2 linked regions of the Callithrix jacchus genome follow. The protein of the gene in region 1 interacts with the protein of each later gene in a pairwise test. Links are inferred from orthologs where the notes say so. Each region holds a gene or a part of one and is shown on either strand. Other genes may lie near its edges. The genes, in order: LDLRAD1 and BNIP3L.

The links.
Region 2: the proteins of LDLRAD1 (region 1) and BNIP3L interact in binary tests that used the Homo sapiens proteins (3 or more experiments, as listed by UniProt). The two-hybrid records come from large-scale screens. The link is inferred for Callithrix jacchus from reciprocal best matches to the Homo sapiens genes LDLRAD1 and BNIP3L.

What each region holds. Positions count from the first base shown.
Region 1 is NC_133508.1:91,203,471-91,213,692, reverse strand, and holds the start of LDLRAD1 (low-density lipoprotein receptor class A domain-containing protein 1), read left to right. Parts: upstream 1-4,640; 5' UTR 4,641-4,677; coding exon 4,678-4,698; intron 4,699-5,237; coding exon 5,238-5,289; intron 5,290-8,273; coding exon 8,274-8,402; intron 8,403-10,222.
Region 2 is NC_133514.1:15,165,207-15,174,654, reverse strand, and holds part of BNIP3L (BCL2/adenovirus E1B 19 kDa protein-interacting protein 3-like), read left to right. Parts: intron 1-204; exon of another isoform or gene 205-400; intron 401-733; exon of another isoform or gene 734-838; intron 839-3,088; exon of another isoform or gene 3,089-3,154; intron 3,155-3,897; coding exon 3,898-4,081; intron 4,082-7,853; coding exon 7,854-7,926; intron 7,927-9,448.

The sequences.
Region 1 (10,222 bases):
AGCGATTAACTCCGGAGAGGGAGGAAAGGAGGTACAACTGGGGAAAAACAGAGGCCCTCAATATTGCTGTATTTAACAGAAAAAAATCTGGAGCAAAAATGACCGCATGTTAACTTTAGTTAACTCGGTGGATTCCTGATTATTTGTTACGTTATTCTTCCTACCTTTCCATATTTTTCTTAAGGTTTTGAAATATTTTTCTGGGGGGCTGGCGGGGAGAAGGATGATGGAATAGGTGAAGAGAGTGAGCTTGGCGTGGTGTTGGGTGAGGATCCTACCCCATGGAGTGGGGTAGGATCTCCTGTCCTCCCTTTCTTCAGGAACAAGGGAAAAGAAGTTTAGAGTAGTAGATGGGAAAGTTGAAGCTCAGAGAGGTTAAGTGACCCAGCCAAGATCACTCAGCTAGTGGTGGGACCATTTGGACTATCAGCTCCAAAACTTGTGCTCTAGCTAGAAGTTTACCCAGCCCTGGCCCAGGGGTCCCAGTCAAGGCCCAGGGCCCAGCAGGGTGGAGGTGGAAGTTGTTTAATGCAGCACAAGCCCTTAATTTTCATGGTATAACCATCCCAACAACTGCCTCCTACTAGGACAAGAACAGGCAATGAAAGCCCCTGCTGTCAGTTCTGCCTAACCAGAGAGAGAGCAGACGGTAGAGGCGGGGACAACGTGCGCCCAGCGTCTGAACAGTGCCCTTCAGGAGCTGTTGCTGGGACACACCAGGTTGGCAGCCTGGGGCCTCTACCTTAGGCAAGAGAGAAAGTGAGGCTAAAAATAATTGGTGCTGCACATGCCGATGTTCCTGAAGTCATCTGCTGCGGCGGAAGGCACGCTCGCTGTGCTAGGGCACTGACCACTGTATGGCCTTGGGCAAGTCTCCTCTTCTCTCCAGACCTTAGTTCCCCCTTCTGTAAAATGAGGTCATTGTGCTCCCTGAGCCTGAGGTCCCTTTGGTTCTGCTGATTCAAGTTCTGAGTTTCCCTGAGGGACTCTGGCAGCCCTGTTTTCACTCTTCTCAGTTTCCTCTGCTAACTCTCACATGGGCATTGCCTTAAGCTGCTGCTAGAACTCTCTATCCAGCACTCACCATTCTCCTTGCTTTATTTATTTATTTCTTTAGAGACAGTCTCGCTCTGTCACCCAGGCTGGAGTACAGTGGCACAATCTCAGCTCACTGCAGCTTCCACCTCCCAGGTTCAAGCAATTCTCCCACCTCAGCCTCCCAAGCAGCTGGTATTACAGGCATGCGCCACCACGCCCAGCTAATTTTTGTATTTTTAGTAGAGACAGGGTTTCACCATGTTGGCCAGGCTGGTCTTGAGCTCCTGACCTCAAGTGATCCACCCACCTCAGCCTCCCAAAGTGCTGGCATTACAGGTGCAATCCACAGCATCCAGCCTTTCCCTGCTTTAGAAAGAGACGCATCTGAGGTTAAGCAAAAGAGGACTGCAAATCCTCACAGCGGTGAGCCACTGATGGTATTTCAGTTGTCAGGCTGGTGGAAGTCAGTAAGACTGATGGTACTAAATGTCAACAGAGATGTAATCAACAGAAACTCATCCACAACGGAAGGAGTGTGAATCAACTCTGTAGGTCCACAGGCTTGGAGTCAAAATGGACCTGGGTTGAAATCTCGGCTCTGCCGTTTACTCACTGTGTGGCTTTGGGCAAGTTACTTAATCTCTGAACCCAGTTTCCACATCTGTTAACTGGGTGTAATAATATTACTGTGGGAAGTAGAAAACTTCCTCTTCAAAGTTTCCTCTCTTTTTAAAGAATAAATCATAAGTGTCAGCAATAATAATTTGTTTTAAAGACTTTCTTCAAAGCCTTCTTGCTTTTTGCTAATAACTCTTTGTTAAGCCTTATCCTATGTAGCCGTTAGACATGCTCACAGGCACATAGTACATTCTATGTCCTTGTAATTTAACCAAGATGTTTATGCTATTATTTTTCTAAGTCCTTTCACAAGCAACTTCTTGTCCTTTCCTTATTTAGACTTCCTCTTTTCCTTTTGTTCTCCATGGCCTTTACCTACTCAAGAACGTTTTAAGTTAGTAGCCAATCAGGTTCAGGTTTAGACTGTGAAGTCTGGCTCCAGCCAATGGAAATCAGACACAGCAATAAGGACAATCCCAATTGCGTAAAGGATAAATATGTCTGCTTTTTCTTTGTTGATAGTACTCTCATGGCAAGACTGCTGGCCGAGTTACCCTTTCTCCAGTAAGTAAAGATTGCTGAGAGATCCTTTGTCCCAGTGCTGACTTTTCCTTGCAGCACCAAGCATCTGTTTCCAGCAATTACCTATCTTACAGAGTTGTGAGGATCAAGGCAGCTGGTGTAGTGCTTGAAGCATAGCAGCTGATCAATAAGTAATAGCTACCTCCCTTCCATCCATTCCTTCCCCTTGAGAGTGAGACTGTGAACCACAGGGGATATGATTCCAAGACGTTCAGGGATTGAAGCACCAGGGCCTCTCCCTCATCTCACCGGGCCCCCTGCTGCCCTTCCCTCAAGGGTTCTTGGTGGCAGCTTGAACCCTGGAGAGACACAGTGCTTTCAGCACAGTTTTATGTGGCTGTACCTGGATTCAATGGATAAAAAGGCATTTCACAGCCCTGAGGAGTCTTTTTATAAAGGAACACTTAAGAATCAGAGTCAAGGAAGGCCAGAGGCTGAAGGGCATTAATAGGTCCTGGAATGGCAAATGGTCATCATGTCTGATACCTCTCTTCACTCTTCCACCCATGGCAGGCATCTATAGTCAGTCACAGTCCTGACCTCAGAATCCTTCTGAGCTGCATGTTCCAGAGAGCTTTTTCCAATCAATTGTAGTTGGCATGCCAAATAAAATCTAGTTAGTGTCTTTAGCAGGGACCATGGGTGCCTGCCCATGCTTTCAACCCTTTCCATTTCAGGACATAGCAGCCTAATGTGCAGCGGGCAAGCTGCCAACACTGGCATCTCCTTGCCTAAGGCAGCCCAGTGCAAGGAATTAACACCCTCTGGCTAGTCTTCTTTTTTTTTCTTTTGAGACTGAGTTTCGCTCTTGATGCTCAGGCTGGAGTGCAATCTTGGCTCACTGCAACTTCTGCCTCCCAGGTTCAAGCGATTCTCCTGCCTCAGTCTCCTGAGGGATGATGGGCACTGCCACCACGCCTGGCTAATTTTTTGTATTTTTAGTAGAGACAGGGTTTCACCACGTTGGCCAGGCTGGTCTCGAACTCCCAGGTGACCCACCTGCCTGGCCTCCCAAAGTGCTGGGATTACAGGTGTGAGCCACCATGCCTGGCCTCCTCTGGCCATTCTCAACCAAGACTGGCAGGAGCTGGCAGATTAATACCCCAGTTCCCCCCACCTTGAGAGGGATCACTGAGGTGCATCTTTGCCCCTGGCTTCCCCGAGGGCCCCAACAGGGCTGAACTCCACTTGCCCACAGCAGGAACCTGCGTTTAAGGATCCTTCTCTTTCCAGTCTCATTTCCCTCATTCCCCGACCACTGTTTCCTGGGATCACTCCCAGTTAAATCTACTTGCCCTCGAATATTGTCTTAGAGTCTGATTCTGGGGAATCCTAAACTAAAACACCCCCTTCATCTGGTTTATATCTTCATTTTATGGATGAAGGATCGGAGGCACAGGAAGGGGAGTGAATTGCCCAAGTCAGAGCCAGTGGTAGGGCCCTACTGAGAGCCCCGTTCTCCTGGTCTAGGTGTCAGCTCTGCGCAGTGTTACTTGCTGCCTCCCAAGGGCTGCCCCTGCACCTGCCCCTCCTACTTGCACCCACATGGATTCAGCATTTTATTTCCCAAAGCAAAAGAAAAGGCTGATTGCAGGTTGGAAAATCTATGGGCGTCAGAGGCAGGTGAAAGGGGATCCTCCCTAGAACTCTTGAGCTCATTTCTGGAGGTAGCCATCTCTCCTTTCTTGGTCTGGGTCATTGGACTTGGCCCTCAAGCTTCCAGGTTTACTCAGCAGTGGGACAGGCTGCTAGGGAAACCCACTCACTGGGAGCGTAGAAGGGGTTATTCAGGCAAGCAACCAGCCCCCCTCCTCTTCCCTACTTCGGGTGCCACCTCAGGGACAGTAAAAATTCACATTGCCACACTTCTAAAGAAAATAATTTAAAGTTATATTTGCTTTATACTTTTAGCGGAAAGTGCATATTCTTTCAATCTGGATTACCTGTGTTGTTTAACAGAAAGAACAGCAATGAGAAAATGACCCCTGCTTTCTAGCCACTGAAATGTTAATTCCGGGAGTTTCTACCTGCATCTTCATCCCCCTGGAACCAGAGCTCCTCCGGTTCTCTCGCTGATGCGGAGGAAAAAGCACTCTTGAAAAGTTTCTGGGTTTCACCCCTCCCACCTACTGTGCGACCTGGGGCAGTTTCTCCCTTTCTGAACCTCTGGCTCTTCATCTGTGGATGGGGATGAGGATTCCAGCCTCGCAGTGTTGCTGTCAGACGGCAGAGAAGGAAACAGCCTGGCCAGAGCAGGGCCCTCTTGCCCTTGCCTCTGCTTGGAAGGCAGCTGGGAGGGAGGGGGCTGCCCACAGGGAGGGTGTGGCCCAGGCAAAGCTCCTGCCTGTCCCTCCTCCAGGCTGCCCCTGGTGACAAGGCAGGGAACCCATGCTGAGCTCTCTGCACACAGCCCCAGTCAGGGAGCTGAAAGCCGAAGACATGAACAAGGTCTTCCCCGAGGTAAGGGCTGCCTGGACCAGGCTCCTGATCTTGGGAGAGCAAACCTTGGGATGAGGAGTGTGGGCAGTAGAGAGTGGGCATACATGGGAGACATGGAGGAAAATCAGCCCCCGTCCTGGCCCGGGGCTCACTCCCAGGGTGTAGGGGGCCCTACCAGTGACCCAGCTGTAGAGTCCAGGTGGCAAGTGCTGGGACGGACACAGAGGAGCCGGGTGGACAGGAAGGGAGAGCGTTAGCTTTACTGGGTATCAGGGAAAGCTTCACCGAGGAGTCGCTGCCCACGCCAGTTTGAAGGATGAATATTTGCCAGGTGGACAGCAGAGGAAAAGGCGCCCCAGACAGAGGGCCCAGTGCAGGCAAAGGTGTGGAAATGGGAAGCCGGCATGAGGCATCTGGGGCGTTGAGCGTGCTGGGGTGTGAGGGAGCCACGGTGCCACCGAAGACTCTCGGTGACCCCTTCTGAAAGCCCTGCTGTCTGCCTCCCTGAGGCTGGACCTCACCTCACCTAAGCCCACCCCTCACTCTGTTCTCTTGGGCAGGGAGAGAATGGCCGCATTGCTGCTGGACCCAAGGCCCTCCCTGGAGGGGAAGGTAAAGAACTGAAGGGCCCAGGGCCAGTGCCCTGTGGGGCTCCCTTGAAGCTGGCAGTTGGCTATAGAGGCATGAGGAAGGTTGGAGGATTCCAGGCTCCCGCTGCCCCTCAGACCTCTGCCCCATGTTAATGTTGTCTGCTCCCAGCTTCCTGGTCAGATGCTGACAGTCACTTGCTTAATAGGGTTATTCATTCTCTCCATGCACACATATTTATTAAGCACCTACTGTGTGCTGCCGACCTCACAGGCACCAAACTGCATTCAGTGCCCACCTGTAATACAGCATCAAACTGACTCAGTGGGTGACCTGGACAATTCTCTTTACCTCTGAGACACATTTATTTAGCCCTACTATGTGCCGCTGGCCCACAGTGTGACCAGAACAGTTCTCTTTACCCTTCTGAAGATAGAAGGAAGAAACAGACATGTATTGAGCATTGTATATGCCCTGGCGTGGCCCACATTTGATCAATGAGGAGACACACCCAGAGAGGTAGATGAAAATACCAACTATAAAGGACCCAGTACAGTTATGTGCCTGGCACTGCATGGCCCCTTTAATCCCCAGGACAGCTCTGAGACAGGGGCTCTGTCATGGGGCAATCACAGATAAGGCAGCTGAAACTAAGAGAAGTTGGGTAACCAGGCCAAGGTCATACAGCGGGGAGGCCGGAGGGCCAGGGTTCAAATGTGAACTGAGGTCTCTCTGGTTACAAAGCCCCAGGGCTTTTGTTGCCGCATACCGGTGTTTGTTTTTTTCCAAGTCCTGACTCATGACGGGTGTGGTTGTGGCAAGAATAGCCTCCTTTTCCTCATCTGTGCAGGGAAGGGACTGGCACCTAAGGGCTTTCTGGCTTTGAAGCGCAACAGCTTCACCTGGGCAGGAGCCTTGGTTCTGCCGGTTCTCCCGTGGCAACATCTTGCACGTGGTCTGTGCTGCACAAATATTTGAGGAGCTGCTTGGCTGACCAGCACACCTCTCCCTGCCCAGAGTCACGCTGCCTCCCTGGTTACCTGAGTTTACCCTGTTTGCTGACGGCCACAGAGCCACCAGCTAGGGCTGTAGGGATGACGGGGTTTTAGATTCCTGCTGCCTTGAATACCATCGTATCCCTCCCAGCGCACATCCATCCTGGAGCCCCGCCACGCCAGGCCACTTGTGCTCCCCCACCTGCAACCACCAGACCTTTCCACTTGCCACGCCCTCTGCCTGGAAGCCCCTTTCTTTGCACCATTCCCTTACCTGCCTGTGGAAATCCCACCCGGCTTCTGAGGACCCTGCATCAGAAATGTGAATGGATTGAAAATAACTGACCCATAGTGGGGGCCTTCCCTTGTCTCCTGGACCCCTGGGCTAGCATATTCACAGAGTGTTCACAAATCTCTGGGCCTGGCACGGTGGCTCACACCGGTAATCCCAGCACTTTGGGAGGCCAAGGTAGGTGACCACCTGAGGTCAGGAGTTGGAGACCAGCCTAGCCAACAGGGTGAAACCCCATCTCTACTGAAAATACAAAACTTGGCCAGATGTGGTGGCAGCCACCTGTTATCCCAGCTACTTGGGGGGCTGAGGCAAGAGAATCTCCTGAACCTGGGAGGCAGAGGTTGCAGTGAGCCGAGATCATGCCACCGCATTTCAGCCTGAGCAATAGAACGAGACTCCATCTCAAAAAAAAAGAACCCCCCCGCAAAAAAAAAGCTCCCACCATGTGCCTGGCTCTGGGCTGGGTCCTGGGGTCACAGGGTGAATCATACCTGCCCCTGCCCCTTTCTCTGAGGTACCTGTGGCCTGGGCAGGTCAGTAGCTCCCACGCTCCTTCAGACATGTCCATGCTTTGCCTTCTAAGTGCAATAACAAGCTGCAGAGGGCAAGGACCAGAGCTGGAGCCACACAGCGGGGCACCAGGAGGTCCTTAGTAAAGGCTTCTGTTATTATTTTGTAAGCAGGAGAGAATTAAAGTACAGTTTTACAAGAGCAGGGACATCCCCTATCACTGTGATTTCCAGTGCTTAGAATAAAGCTTGGCACGTGGCAAGTCCTCAACAAGCAATAACAGCCCAGACACAGCAGTGCGCAGCTGTTACAGGACTTTGGGAGGCCGAGGCAGGAGGACTGTTTGAGCCCAGGACTTAGAGTGTGCAGTGAACTATGATTGCACCACTGCATTCCAGCCTGGGCAACAGAGCCGGACCCTATCTCTAAAATTAAAAAAAAATTTTTTTAAGCAATAATAATAGCTCATATTCATCATTTACTATGTGCCAAGCACTGTTCTAACACATTAACTCAACAAATTCTAATCCTTTCAGCAAACTTTAAGGTAGCTATTACGGTCCCCATTTCCCACATGAAGCAACTGAAGTGCAGAGAAGTGAAGTGACTTACTCAGTGTGGCTCAGGTAGGAACTGGTGGAACTGGGATTCCAACCTGCATCCCAGCAGACTCCAGAACGGACAGTCAGTGGGGATTGTGGAAAGGGCATGCGTTGTGGCATCACACAGGTGTGGATTCACATGCCAGCTCCACCCTGGGTTACCTGAACCTTTTCTTTTCTGAGCCCCAGTTTCCTCATAGATCAAATAAAAGGTTGTTTTGAAAAATAAAGACCACAGTTATGAAGGGCCTGATGGAGCGTCTGCCCCGTGGTGGGGGCTGGACATGCAGGCGTCCATCTCTCCCTGCGTCCTGAGGAGGTCTCCTGATGGCGAGTGGGCGGGGAGAGCTGTCCACCTCTGCCATTCAGTTAGCTGTGGGCATCTGGCCAGGGTGGCACCTAGTGGGGTGGGCCCACAGGCAGAACAAAGAGCATCAAGCGGGGCTTGGGAGCTGCTCCTCCAGGGAAGCCCTCCCAGCTCTGCTCACCCTGGTGGGGGAAGGGCTGCTCACAGGGGCAGGACAGGGAGGGGGTTCACTGTTCCCAGTTCTGGCCCCCCCATCACGACCCCCCCCCCGGGCTTGTTTCCCTCCCTGTTCCCCGCAGCAGGCTGCGGCCCCCTCTGCTGCTCGCGCCGCGGGGCCTGCCTCTCTGCCTTTCTGCTGCTCCTCCTGGCAACTCTGGCCGCCCTCATCGCCTTGGTCACCACACTCGGACTCCCATCACGAACCCCAGGTCAGAGCGGCCAAGAGAGGGTGGGTCAGACCCAGCAGGGAGGATATGGGGGACACAGAGAGACCTGCCTGGCTTCTCCACCAGGTGACTTATGACAAATTCCTTAAGGTGCATGCACAGACAACACAGATACCTGCACACTGACTATGCCGATCTCTTAGCCTCCATCTGCACATCTGTGACATGATTATTGAGAGGACCCAGCTCTGATGTCACCTCCTCCAGGATGCCTTCCTGGACCCCCAGGCTGGGTTAGGAACCTCTTCTCAGCCCCACAGTCCCTACACTTCCCCATCATCCCCTGGCCTGGCCATCCCGGGTGGGGCTATCCATCTGTGGGTTCATTTTCACCACAGGGAGACAGGGTCACCTCCCACACATGCCTGCAGCCCCAGCTCCGGGGTGAAAGATCGGGACACAGTGCCTGCCCTCATGGAGCTAACTCTTTGGAGAGCAATCTAGACATGAATACATGTTACAGCAGGGTTCTGGGAGCCCTGAGAGTCTAGCCCCATCAAGGAGTCAGGATAGGCACAATGGGTACTAGTTGTAGGGGGATGCCAGGAAAAGCATCCCAGGCACAGGGAATGCATGTGTGGAGCCCTAAGGGGTGGGAGGAGCAGGAGGAGAAGGAGGGACTGCAAGAGGCCAGCGAACAGGAAGGGCTGGAGTGACAAGTGGGGCCGGGTGCCAAGGGCCTCACAGGCTGCACCAGGAAGCGAGGTCACAGTCCAGGAGCCACAGAAAGGGGAGGAAGGCGGGGACAAGTGTCACCAGGTGAATCTTTCTGAAGGATGGCTCTGCCGCTGGGCAGGGTGGGTTAGAGGGCTGAGGTGGGGGCTGAGATTCACAGTGCTCTACCTGCTGGTGCAGGAACACAGGCCCTGAACTGGATGCGAATGCATGAGCAGCTGCGGTCCTGAGTTTGTGTGTGCACTCTGTGTGTTTAGCATGTCTGTGAGTAGATGCAGGTGTCTGTGTATGGATGTTCGTGTCTATGTGAGAGTGTGTGTGTCGGTGTGTGTGTGCATATCTGCTGTCTGTGTATCTGTGAGTGTGCATGTAGGTGCAGCTGTCTGTGTGCGAGCATGTGTGCATGTGTGTGCATCTGTGTGTGTCTGTGTCAACATGAGTGCCCCTGGGAGTTGCCCCCTTCACACACACACACGCACACTAGCTGAGGCAGCCCAGGGGCTGAGATGTGATTCACACATGCGCAAACACAAATGCGCAAACCAACTTCCAACCCCAATTATGCACACGTATACAGATGCGGGGCCAAGGTGTTCCCCCACCCCTAACTTGTCTGCAGGGTTTTTCTTTCTTTCTTTCTTTTTTTTTTTTTTTTTGAGATGGGGTCTTGCTTTGTTGCCCAGGCTGGAGTGATATGGCACAATCTCAGATCGCTGCAACCTCTGCTTCAAGGGTTCAAGTGATTCTCCTGCCTCAGCCTCCCGAGTAGCTAGGACTACAGGCATGCACCACCATGCCCAGCTAATTTTGTATTTTTAGTAGAGATGGGGTTTGTCCATGTTGGTCAGGCTGGTCTCAAACTCCCGACCTGAGGTGATCTGCCCACCTTGGCCTCCCAAAGTGCCGGGATTACAGGCGTGAGCCACAACACCCGGCCAGTTTTCTGTCTTTTCATTCCTTGGGGCAGTCCTAAGAGTGGGTATTCCTTTCCTGCTCCCATATTGGCGGGGGGGGGGGGGTGCTAATGAGAACGTGGTCTCAGGGGTGTTTGGGGAACTATAGAATAAAGATGTGGAAGTGCTCTGCAGATGTGCCCAGATAGAAGGAGTGGTGACGTATGGTCCTCC
Region 2 (9,448 bases), on another chromosome or scaffold:
GTGATGAGACAAAGACATGTTGTTCATCTGTTTTGCTCTTCTGTGTATTACTCAAAAGATTAATATGTAGCCTCTCAATGCCTATGCACATAACTTTCTCTGCACTATGTATTTCCATAGATGATATTTTTGGAAGCAAATTACCGAGTTAAAGGAAATTACCCTTTTAAGGCTCTTAATACCTATTGTCAAATTATTCTCCAGAATGTTCACTGAAGCGCTGCTTGTAACAACAAAGTATTAGAAACAAGCATCTGAGTAGGGGTGACCATTGCCATTTAGATAATGGTGAAAGGACGGTATATCCTCATCAAAGGTGAGATGCAGTGCCGTTGTTCAGAAGAATTAATGTCAGTGTGTACTGATAGGGAAGACATCTGAAAAACGACTTACAGATTATGTAAGTACGTGTGTATGGTACAGTTTCATTTCTTTATGAAAACAGACATGTTTCATTGAAAAAAAAATCAAAATCTCCATGTGAAACTCAAAAGTGACTCCTTTGGGTGTAGGAATGGGAGGTGAGGAGAAACGGTGATTGTAAATTTTAGGTGCTGATTGTTTACATTTTCTAAGAACATATGTTTGCAGTAAGGAACGGTTTTGATATGATACAGAATATAATTATAGTAGCTAAAACTTTCCTAGGGAGCTTTCTTACTGTTCTGCATGCTTTATTCATGTAATCCTCCTAACAAAGTCTTCGAGGTAGATACAGTTATCTGTTTTATAGATGGGGAAAGTGAGGCTATAAGTACCCTGTGCAAGGGTGACAGCTTTGACTGAGAGTGGAAGCCTGGCTTCAGTTCTGCCCCTGACCACAGTAGACCAGTATATGGCAAGTACAAATTGTCTGTCTTAAGTAGAAATGCTTTCAGTTACACCACAGGGTGTGGAGGCCACAGCAGAGATCACTTTTACTGAGCTTTTCTAGGTATGTCTCTTTGTTCGGGTTTCTAAAGTATATTTTAGATTATGATTGCTTATGCATTTTTAATGAAGAAAATAGAATCCAGGCATTGATTTGAAAGTCCTTCATAAAAGTAAAAACCAGGCTGGGAGTGGCTCATAATCTGTAACCCCAGCACTTTGGGAGGCTGAGGTGGGAGGATTGCTGAAGTCTGGGAGTTTGAGACCAACCTGGGCAATGTAGGAAGACCCCATCTCTACCAAAAAAATAAATAAATAAATTAGCGGGGCGTGGTTGCATGTGCCCTATAGTCCCAGCTTCTTGGGAGGCTGAGGTAGGAGGCTTGCTTGAGCCCAGGAGTCAGGCTGTGGTGAGCTGCGATTGTGCCACTGTACTTCCAGCCTGGGTGACAATGCAAGACTGTCTCAAAAAAAAGTAAGGACCGGAAAACCTGATATTTTTTGTTACACCCTTATTTCTCTTTGATCATCTACTTCAAATGAGTATTTATTGTATATTAGGGAAGACTGGCTTCCACAGAGACCCATCTGGAACTCCTGGTTCCTTAGCTCTGCTTCTGGTTTGTTTTATTGTTTGCATTGGGCTTCTACACAAGAAGAATTGCTCCCATTGGTTTAAAAATAAGTTTGAAAATCCTAGAAGCAGTAGGAGTCAGAAAAAAACTGTTTTTCATATACATATTCTCTCCCCCACCTCCTTTCTCTCCAGCTGAAATATTTTGCAGAGCTCTAAATTTAGGGATGCTTTTGGCATATTTCTTATACACTCCAGAGGCACTCGAGTGAGTTCAATTATCTTCAGTGTTAGATTTCTCTTAGCTTTGCTAGTTTTAATTGCTGATCCATTTCGAGTTCTCTCTAGTCTATGTCCATTTTATGTGTGTATAGAATGAGGCCACAGAGATGTTGTAGAACTGTGTCCTTTGGCAGCAGAGTCCTAAGGAATTGGTGGTGATTATGGGATATTGGTGCCACTGGGGCTGCCTCAGATGGAAAGCAAAGGGTTCTAAGTATTTATAAATGTAAATTCTACTGTATAACTGAGTATCTTCCATTTACCAGCACTTGATACTACTAAATCCTCACAGCAACCCTGTGTTATTATTATCTCTGTTTTGTAAATGAGGAGGCTGAAACTGAGGTCACACAGGTAGACAGGAAGCAATGGGTTCAGATTCCCAGCCAGGTCTGCCTGCGAGCTTTCCTTCTTGTGAGGGCGATGTTGAGTTCATTCGGGATCTGGTGTAGCCATCACCACATTTAGCGTGCGTTTTGGAGTTTGAGCCAGTTTTGATGATTGCTTCATCTTACTGACAGAAATCCTTATTTATCCCTGGAACTCTTTCTAATGCTTCTGCTGGGAGTTTAGAGAGGTGGCCCCACCAAGCTGCTTGGTTACATTTTCTAAAACAAAATTTATCATAAGCAATGGAGGCTGGGCACGGTGGCTCACGCCTGTAATCCCAGCATTTTGGGAAGCCAAGGTGAGCAGAACATGAGGTCAGGAGTTCAAGATCAGCCTGGTCAACATGGTGAAAGCCCATCTCTACTAAAAATACAAAAATTAGCTAGACATCGTGGTGCATGCCTGTCATCCCAGCTACTTGTGGGGCTGAGGTCAGGAGAATTGCTTGAACGAAGACTCAGAGGCAGAGATTGCAGTGAGCGGAGATCGCACCACTGCACTCTAGCCTGGGCTACAGAGCCAGACTCCGTCTCAAAAAAAAAAAAAAAAAAGGAAAAGATTAACAAAATATACCACTATCTCTTTTTGCTGTGAAGTTACTTTATTGGCTACTGTTAACAATTATTTCAATTCTTTTACTTATTTTCTTACTGTTCTTTTGTAGAGACAAGGTCTTGCCATGTTGCCAAGGCTGGTGTAAAACTCCCGCACTTGAGCAATCCTGGTGCCTTAGCCTCCCAGAGTGCTGGGATTACCTGTGTGAACCACTGTCCCTGGCCTCAACTCTTATTAAAATTAAAACACCTTAATACTTTTAGCAGACTTACTGGGCCAATATTTTCAAGACCTATGCAGAATTACCAGTGCCACATCCCCTTTTTCTGTGGCTCCACCCCTTCAACTTTTTGCCCAAGAAAACATTCGTGTTTGCGTGTAGCTAATGTGCAGTTGTTTCTGCCCCCAAATCAACAGGGCTTAACGAAAACTCTAGAAAGTAGGAACTCGTGGGAGAGAAGAGAAAAAAGACAAGTTCACAAGGTATGTTTAGTGTATAAAAAAGGAGAAAGACTTCTAGCAGTGATATAAAGGAAATGAAGAAACGAATCAGTGAGATAGAGCTAAAGCTTTTTTCTGAATTTTTCGCATTATCACCTGGTTTTGTTAACCAGCTGCCTTAATTTTATGCTCCTGATTTGTGCACAAATTGAAATGTTTGCTACTGGATTTAAGTTCCCTCTCTAGGAGTTTCTCCGTTGTTTGCACTAAGGAGGATATAGTTGCTAACTTACTTAGATAACCTTTTATGAAATTTCTAATTGATAATACTTACTGTTTCATTTACGAATCAGATAAAGCTGAGTAGCTTAGGTAGACTATGAAGAAAGTGTCTCTCTGTGCGTATATCTATACACCAGCTGAAATATTAAAGGTAAGTAGCCTGTCTAGTAAAAAAGTAGCTATTTTTTTTTTAAAAGCAACCTCAGAGTTTTCAGTAAAGTGTTATTATAAACTAAGGTTTAACAAAAGAGAAAATTGGCTGAAAAACACATTTTCCAAGATGTTTTAGAGTTCCCGTTTCTTCTCAGCTGATGGCATGAGCTATTTCAGGAACAGAACTTAATAGATGTTTAGACTTTTATTACTCTTTCTTTTCTTCAGAATACTTTTGCATTTCGTTTGAGGAGAGTCAGAATTCTTATCTGGATTCACCATATTCACATCTGTGTGCACATGACAGATTTCAGTTCTGCTGTGGTTAACTTATCTGACTTGTCCAACAGGTTCCTGGGTGGAGCTACCCATGAATAGCAGCAATGGCAATGATAATGGCAATGGGAAAAATGGGGGGCTAGAACATGTGCCTTCCTCATCCTCCATTCACAATGGAGACATGGAGAAGATTCTTTTGGATGCACAACATGAATCAGGACAGAGTAGTTCAAGAGGCAGCTCTCACTGTGACAGGTAAGTGAGATCCGTGTTTTGGTGGAATTCAGGACACGGGTGGGTTACAGGGCTCATTATCTCTAGGAAAAATTTATTTGCTTAAATCTTCACTTAGCAAAAATGCCTCCTGATATATTGCAGTGTAATATATATTCCACAGATACATAGATTGTGTTTATATCAGACAGCTAATTGACAGGTGTTCCAGTGCCCCCTGTTTTCTCCAGATTGTCACTTTTTTTAATCAGATTACATTATTTTTAGCAGTTTATCAGTTTAAAATTCAGTGGCATAAATGCTACTTCATAGAATTAATCTTTCTCCCATTTTCCTTTGAGTCCCTCTTTTACAGATCACAGACTGCCTTGAATTAGTTACCTCTGTGTATATCTGTCTTCCCTTCTAGATCTTGAGGCTTCAAAGGGCAGGGACCATGTTTCATCTTTATTAGCTTCACGGTAATGGTGCTGGCACATAATAGACACTAAGTAAATGTTTGACCCATAGGAACTGCAGGTTGATTCACATTATAGCAATATTTGCACAGTTGGAAGCGCCAGCCAAGGTCTGTAAAGGTAGTTTTGAAGGCCCTTCTCCTTTCTCAGAGATGTTTTGTTTCAGACCGTTTTTCTGTATTTGACCCGAGGAAGCTCATTCCATGGATTAAAGACTGCTTATAGTGAAAGAGTAAGATTACAGTGAGATATATGTGTTGGAATGAAACCAGGTTATTATTTTTTAGTGTAAGCTTTTCTTTTTTTCCAGAGGGGCTGAATATTCAGTGACATTTACAAAATTCTTGTTTCAATGACAGCTACACTGTTAGCATTATAGGGCACCGGCTGACCTTCTGAGTAGCTGTTAGCTGATGTTAACCATACAGCAAACGCACAGGAAGCAGATTAAGGAAATGCTGAGGAATGTAAACAGTGCTTATCTTTAGGGATGCAGGATGGATATTTTTCTTCTTAACATTTTTGTATTTGGTAAAAATTGTGTATATTGCACATATTATTACTTACCAGAAGAAGCGAAAAGGAGAAATCAGTTAAATTATATTCCAGCTTCCCGAGGGACTTATGATCCACTAATGTTGCCAAGGCAGCCGGGGGACTGGTTTGCTGGCTCTGTGGCACACTATGCACCCCCGCCACCCCCGTGTCATCCCTGACTTGTCCCTGTGCTTCTTAGAGCCTGGGATGGCTCTTGTCATAAGCAGAACACAGCAGATGGCTCTCTTCTGAACAGCTTGCCCTTGATTCCAGTAGCTACAGCATTAAGTCTGTCTTTCCGAATGAAGATACATGTTTATATTATGGAACTTGCCGATGGGTGTCTGAAGTTTTCTGCTTGTTAATGGCCTGTCAGCAAGGCTTTCACTCTGCATTCCAGTGCATGGGCCTTGATCATTGACACCACGGTGTCCATTAGCCTGTTGTTAACATGGTGGTGTCATCGAGCAAAGAAAAGTCACCTGCTTACCTGTCTGTTCATCCTGTTACATGTGATTGAATATGACTTCACCCTCCCATGATCGTGTTTAAGTTGTGAAAGCATGTGAAAAGGAGGCATGGCAAGTGCTTTTGAACACTTCCTACCCCTCATCTTATGTATCTCCGGGCCCTAGATTAGTGGTTGTCTTTCAGAGAATGCCTAGAACTCTAGTGTGCAGCAGCACTCTCCTGGGATGTCTGACTCACACGCTTTACCATTGAAGAGTGTCTCAGAAATCATGTCATTTGAATTGCCATGCGTCTCTGTATTTGAAGTCATTGGGAAGTGTTTCTTGTTGCGGGGAAGGTTTTAGGGTTGTTGGATATCAGTCCTAGAGCTGATTTATGAGTCTTTTCTACTGCAAAATTATTCCATAGAAATATTTGTGTGGCTGCAGGGGTTGTTAGCTGGGAACCCAGTGTGTTCTGCTTCGCGTTCCACCCTGTCGCAGGCATTTTCGCCTTGAGGGCATCCTAGATTCACACAGGGAGCTTTTAAAAGTGCCAGCACATGGACTGCATCTCAAGAATTTCTCATTTTGGTTGCCAGGGCAGGGTAGAGACATCACAATATTTTAAAACTCCCCAGCCGATTCTAATATGTGTCATGGGTGAAGCTCTAATGCATTCCAAATTATTTCAGGAGGAATAAACAGTTTAGAGAAAAGGCTGGTGCCAGCATGAAGAAGCATGCAGAAGCAGAGCAGTGCTTCCACAGGATTCCTGACTTTGTCACCCTGCCTGCCTTGACCTGGTCGAGGCTATGTAAGGCTGACCCTTAACTTGATGTGTAGCTGTGAAGCTAATGGTGTTAGGATCACAAAGATAGTAAACTGAGGCCAGTAGAAGTGCCCAGTTCTGGTTGACTCCTGTGCTAGTTCAAGACAGAAATTTCCTAAACATATATGATGTTTATACAGAACGAGCTTTTCCCTTTTAAGAATCCCCTGTGTCAATTATACCATTCGAAAAAACTCCTAGGCCTAATTTGTCTGATAAATTTCTGATGATCTTACTTATTTCTGAGTCAGTCTCACCAGCATCTCTATACATTAATTAACATTGTATACATACATATTCTTGGTAACTTTAATAGTTAATATCTATTCCTTTCAGCAAGTTAAACCCCAAATATTTTTTATTTCTCTTTTAGATTTTGGGGGGAGGGTATGTGTATGTAGTGAGGGATCCAGTGACTTTCAGTGGCTACACAAGGAATCATTGATAAAGCTAAGAAATTAACTTAACACATTCTGTTCGTCTCTTATATCAAGTACAGTTTGTGATTATGTGGTTTTTGTCTAAAAACTTATCTGTAAATTTTTATAGTTCTAAAAATATATTTTGTACAATCAGAAAGATTGTATATTCAAATATAAGCTTATATAATTCAGTCTCAAATAAAGCAAATATTTCTGAAATAAGTAAAATAGTGGTTATCAAAGTTGTTGGTCTTTATATACTTTTACATTCTTAAAAATAATTAGGGACCCCAAAGGACTTGCTTGTGGGTTTATATATTTTGATATTTACTATATTAGAAACTAACACTGAGAAAGTACATATTCAAAAATAATACATTCTAACATAGATAAGCTTTTTTAGTGAAAATAACTATCTTCTATAAGTCCCCCCAAGTTAATAAGAATAGTGGCATTGTTTTACACGTTTACAAATCTCTAATACCAAGCCTATTAGAGAACAACCGGCTCTCATCCGCTTCTGCGTTCTACCTGTTGTACTATCACATACTGTATAGCCTTCGGAAAATTCCATTAGACACTCATGGGAGAATGAGAATGAAAAAGGCAAACAAATCCTACTAGTATTACAAAAGGAACTCTAACCTCGAAAACCCTCTGAAAACATCTTTGAGAACTACCTTATGCACTGTGAAAACTACGGGTGGTGAATTATTTAATAAGAGAACTTTGAGAAAAGGAACTCTAAAATTCCCGAATTTGAAGATTATTTTACCTTTAATGGACCAAAGAGTAGATATAAGAAAATGTGACAGTTTGTGTCTGTAAGTAGTATTTCCTTTGCACATTTATCATTTTGAAGGAATTCATTACTACTGAAAAAGGACAGAACATTCTAGGTGTAAAATGCTCAATTTCATTTGGCCCTTTAATGTTTCATAAAATTTTCTTGTATGGGGTTATGATAAATTTTCTGATTTGCTTTTTCAAAGCCATACTGCTGTAATTTTTAATTTTCTTATTTCTGGTAGAGACTAAGTGTCAAGTGTGACAAAATGAGAATTAAAAGTAATAGCTAAATTTTTTCTCTTCTAGCCCTTCGCCACAAGAAGATGGGCAGATCATGTTTGATGTGGAAATGCACACCAGCAGGGACCATAGCTCTCAGGTGTGTGGGAGGGATTCTGATTTATAGCAAACAAGAAAGATGCACATTGTCTACGTGTGTTTTGCTAAAATATATTAAAGAAAAAGAAGACTTTTAGGAATAGTTTGAAGCTGTTACTGAATTTCTGATTTTGGAATTTATTTAGGATGATATAGTTCTTGCCACACTCCTTTACAACTAAGGATTTTGGGCCCTGTCACTCTAAAAGAACTGGAAGATTCTTGTCCATAATGAAGCATGCCAATACGCCATGCTCGTTTCTTTTTTTTTTTTTTTTTTAAATTGAAATGGAATCTTGCTCTGTCGCCCAGGCTGGAGTGCAGTGGCCTGATCTCGGCTCCCTATAGCCTCTACCTCCTGGGTTCAAGCGATTCTCCTGCCTCAGCCTCCTGAGTATCTGGGACTACAGGTGCGCACCACCGTGCCCAGCTAATGTTTGTATTTTTAGTAGACGCGGGGTTTCACCATATTGTTCAGGCTGGTCTCAAACTCCTCACCGTGTGATCCAGCAGCCTTGGCCTCCCAAAGTGCTGGGATTATAGGCACGAGCCACCATACCTGACCTACAGGCTAGTTTCTTGAGTTTATAAATAGAAAAAAACTGAGACAGAGGCTTTAAGACCACAGAATAAATGAAAATGAAGGTTGTGTTAGAACTAGGTGTGAAGACTTCGCCTGAAACCAAAGCAGTGACTTTTGAGATAAATTTCAAGAGGTAGACATAAAATTTATCTAAATTATGCAGGATTCCTTGAAGATAAATATCGTTTACTAGGAGTTGACATTGTTGGGAACATAGATGGATATAGTATTAAAATCTCACAAATGTTTGTATTATGAAACTTAAAATACGGAAAGTATATAATTGTTGCTAATGATTTAGAATACTCATACCCAGCCTTTAGCTTTATTGATAGGTAATATCACCTAAAAGTGAGGACCAGAACCATTGTCTTTTTTTTCTGCATTTAAGTTGCTTGAAAAATAATGAATCTTCGAATGAGTTGCAACAAAAACCTTGTTTTGTGGGGTTCTCATTATGCTGTGTCTTTGTCCCTTTGCACTAGAAATATTCTGTGTATCTTCGGCACACCCGGTATTGTTTCTGAAGGTCACAGAATTCCTTCATACTTTGACTATGCTCTGTTTTTGCTTTTCTCTGAAATACTGAAAATGTATGGATTCACACAAATTTATTTGATGATGAGCTTTATACTTACAGAGAAACTCACAATAGCAGGCTGTCGTGTAGTAAGGTGATCTGACAGGAGCATTTGAGTTGCTGGCTTCTGCCTATCAGTTTGGCCACGTGCAGTAAGCTCTAGCTGATGTAGAAGAAAGGATATAAAGTCTCCATGGCAGAAAGTGTTTCAAGGAATCCAAGAGACAAATCAAATTCTTTGCTGTGGTCTTTCCTGAGGAGGATTTCTTCAATCCGTATATCACCTTTTACACAGAAAGCTTAAAGTTCATATTAGCATTTTCCAAAATGTGTTTTCAAGAATGTTTGTTCAAAGGGAAG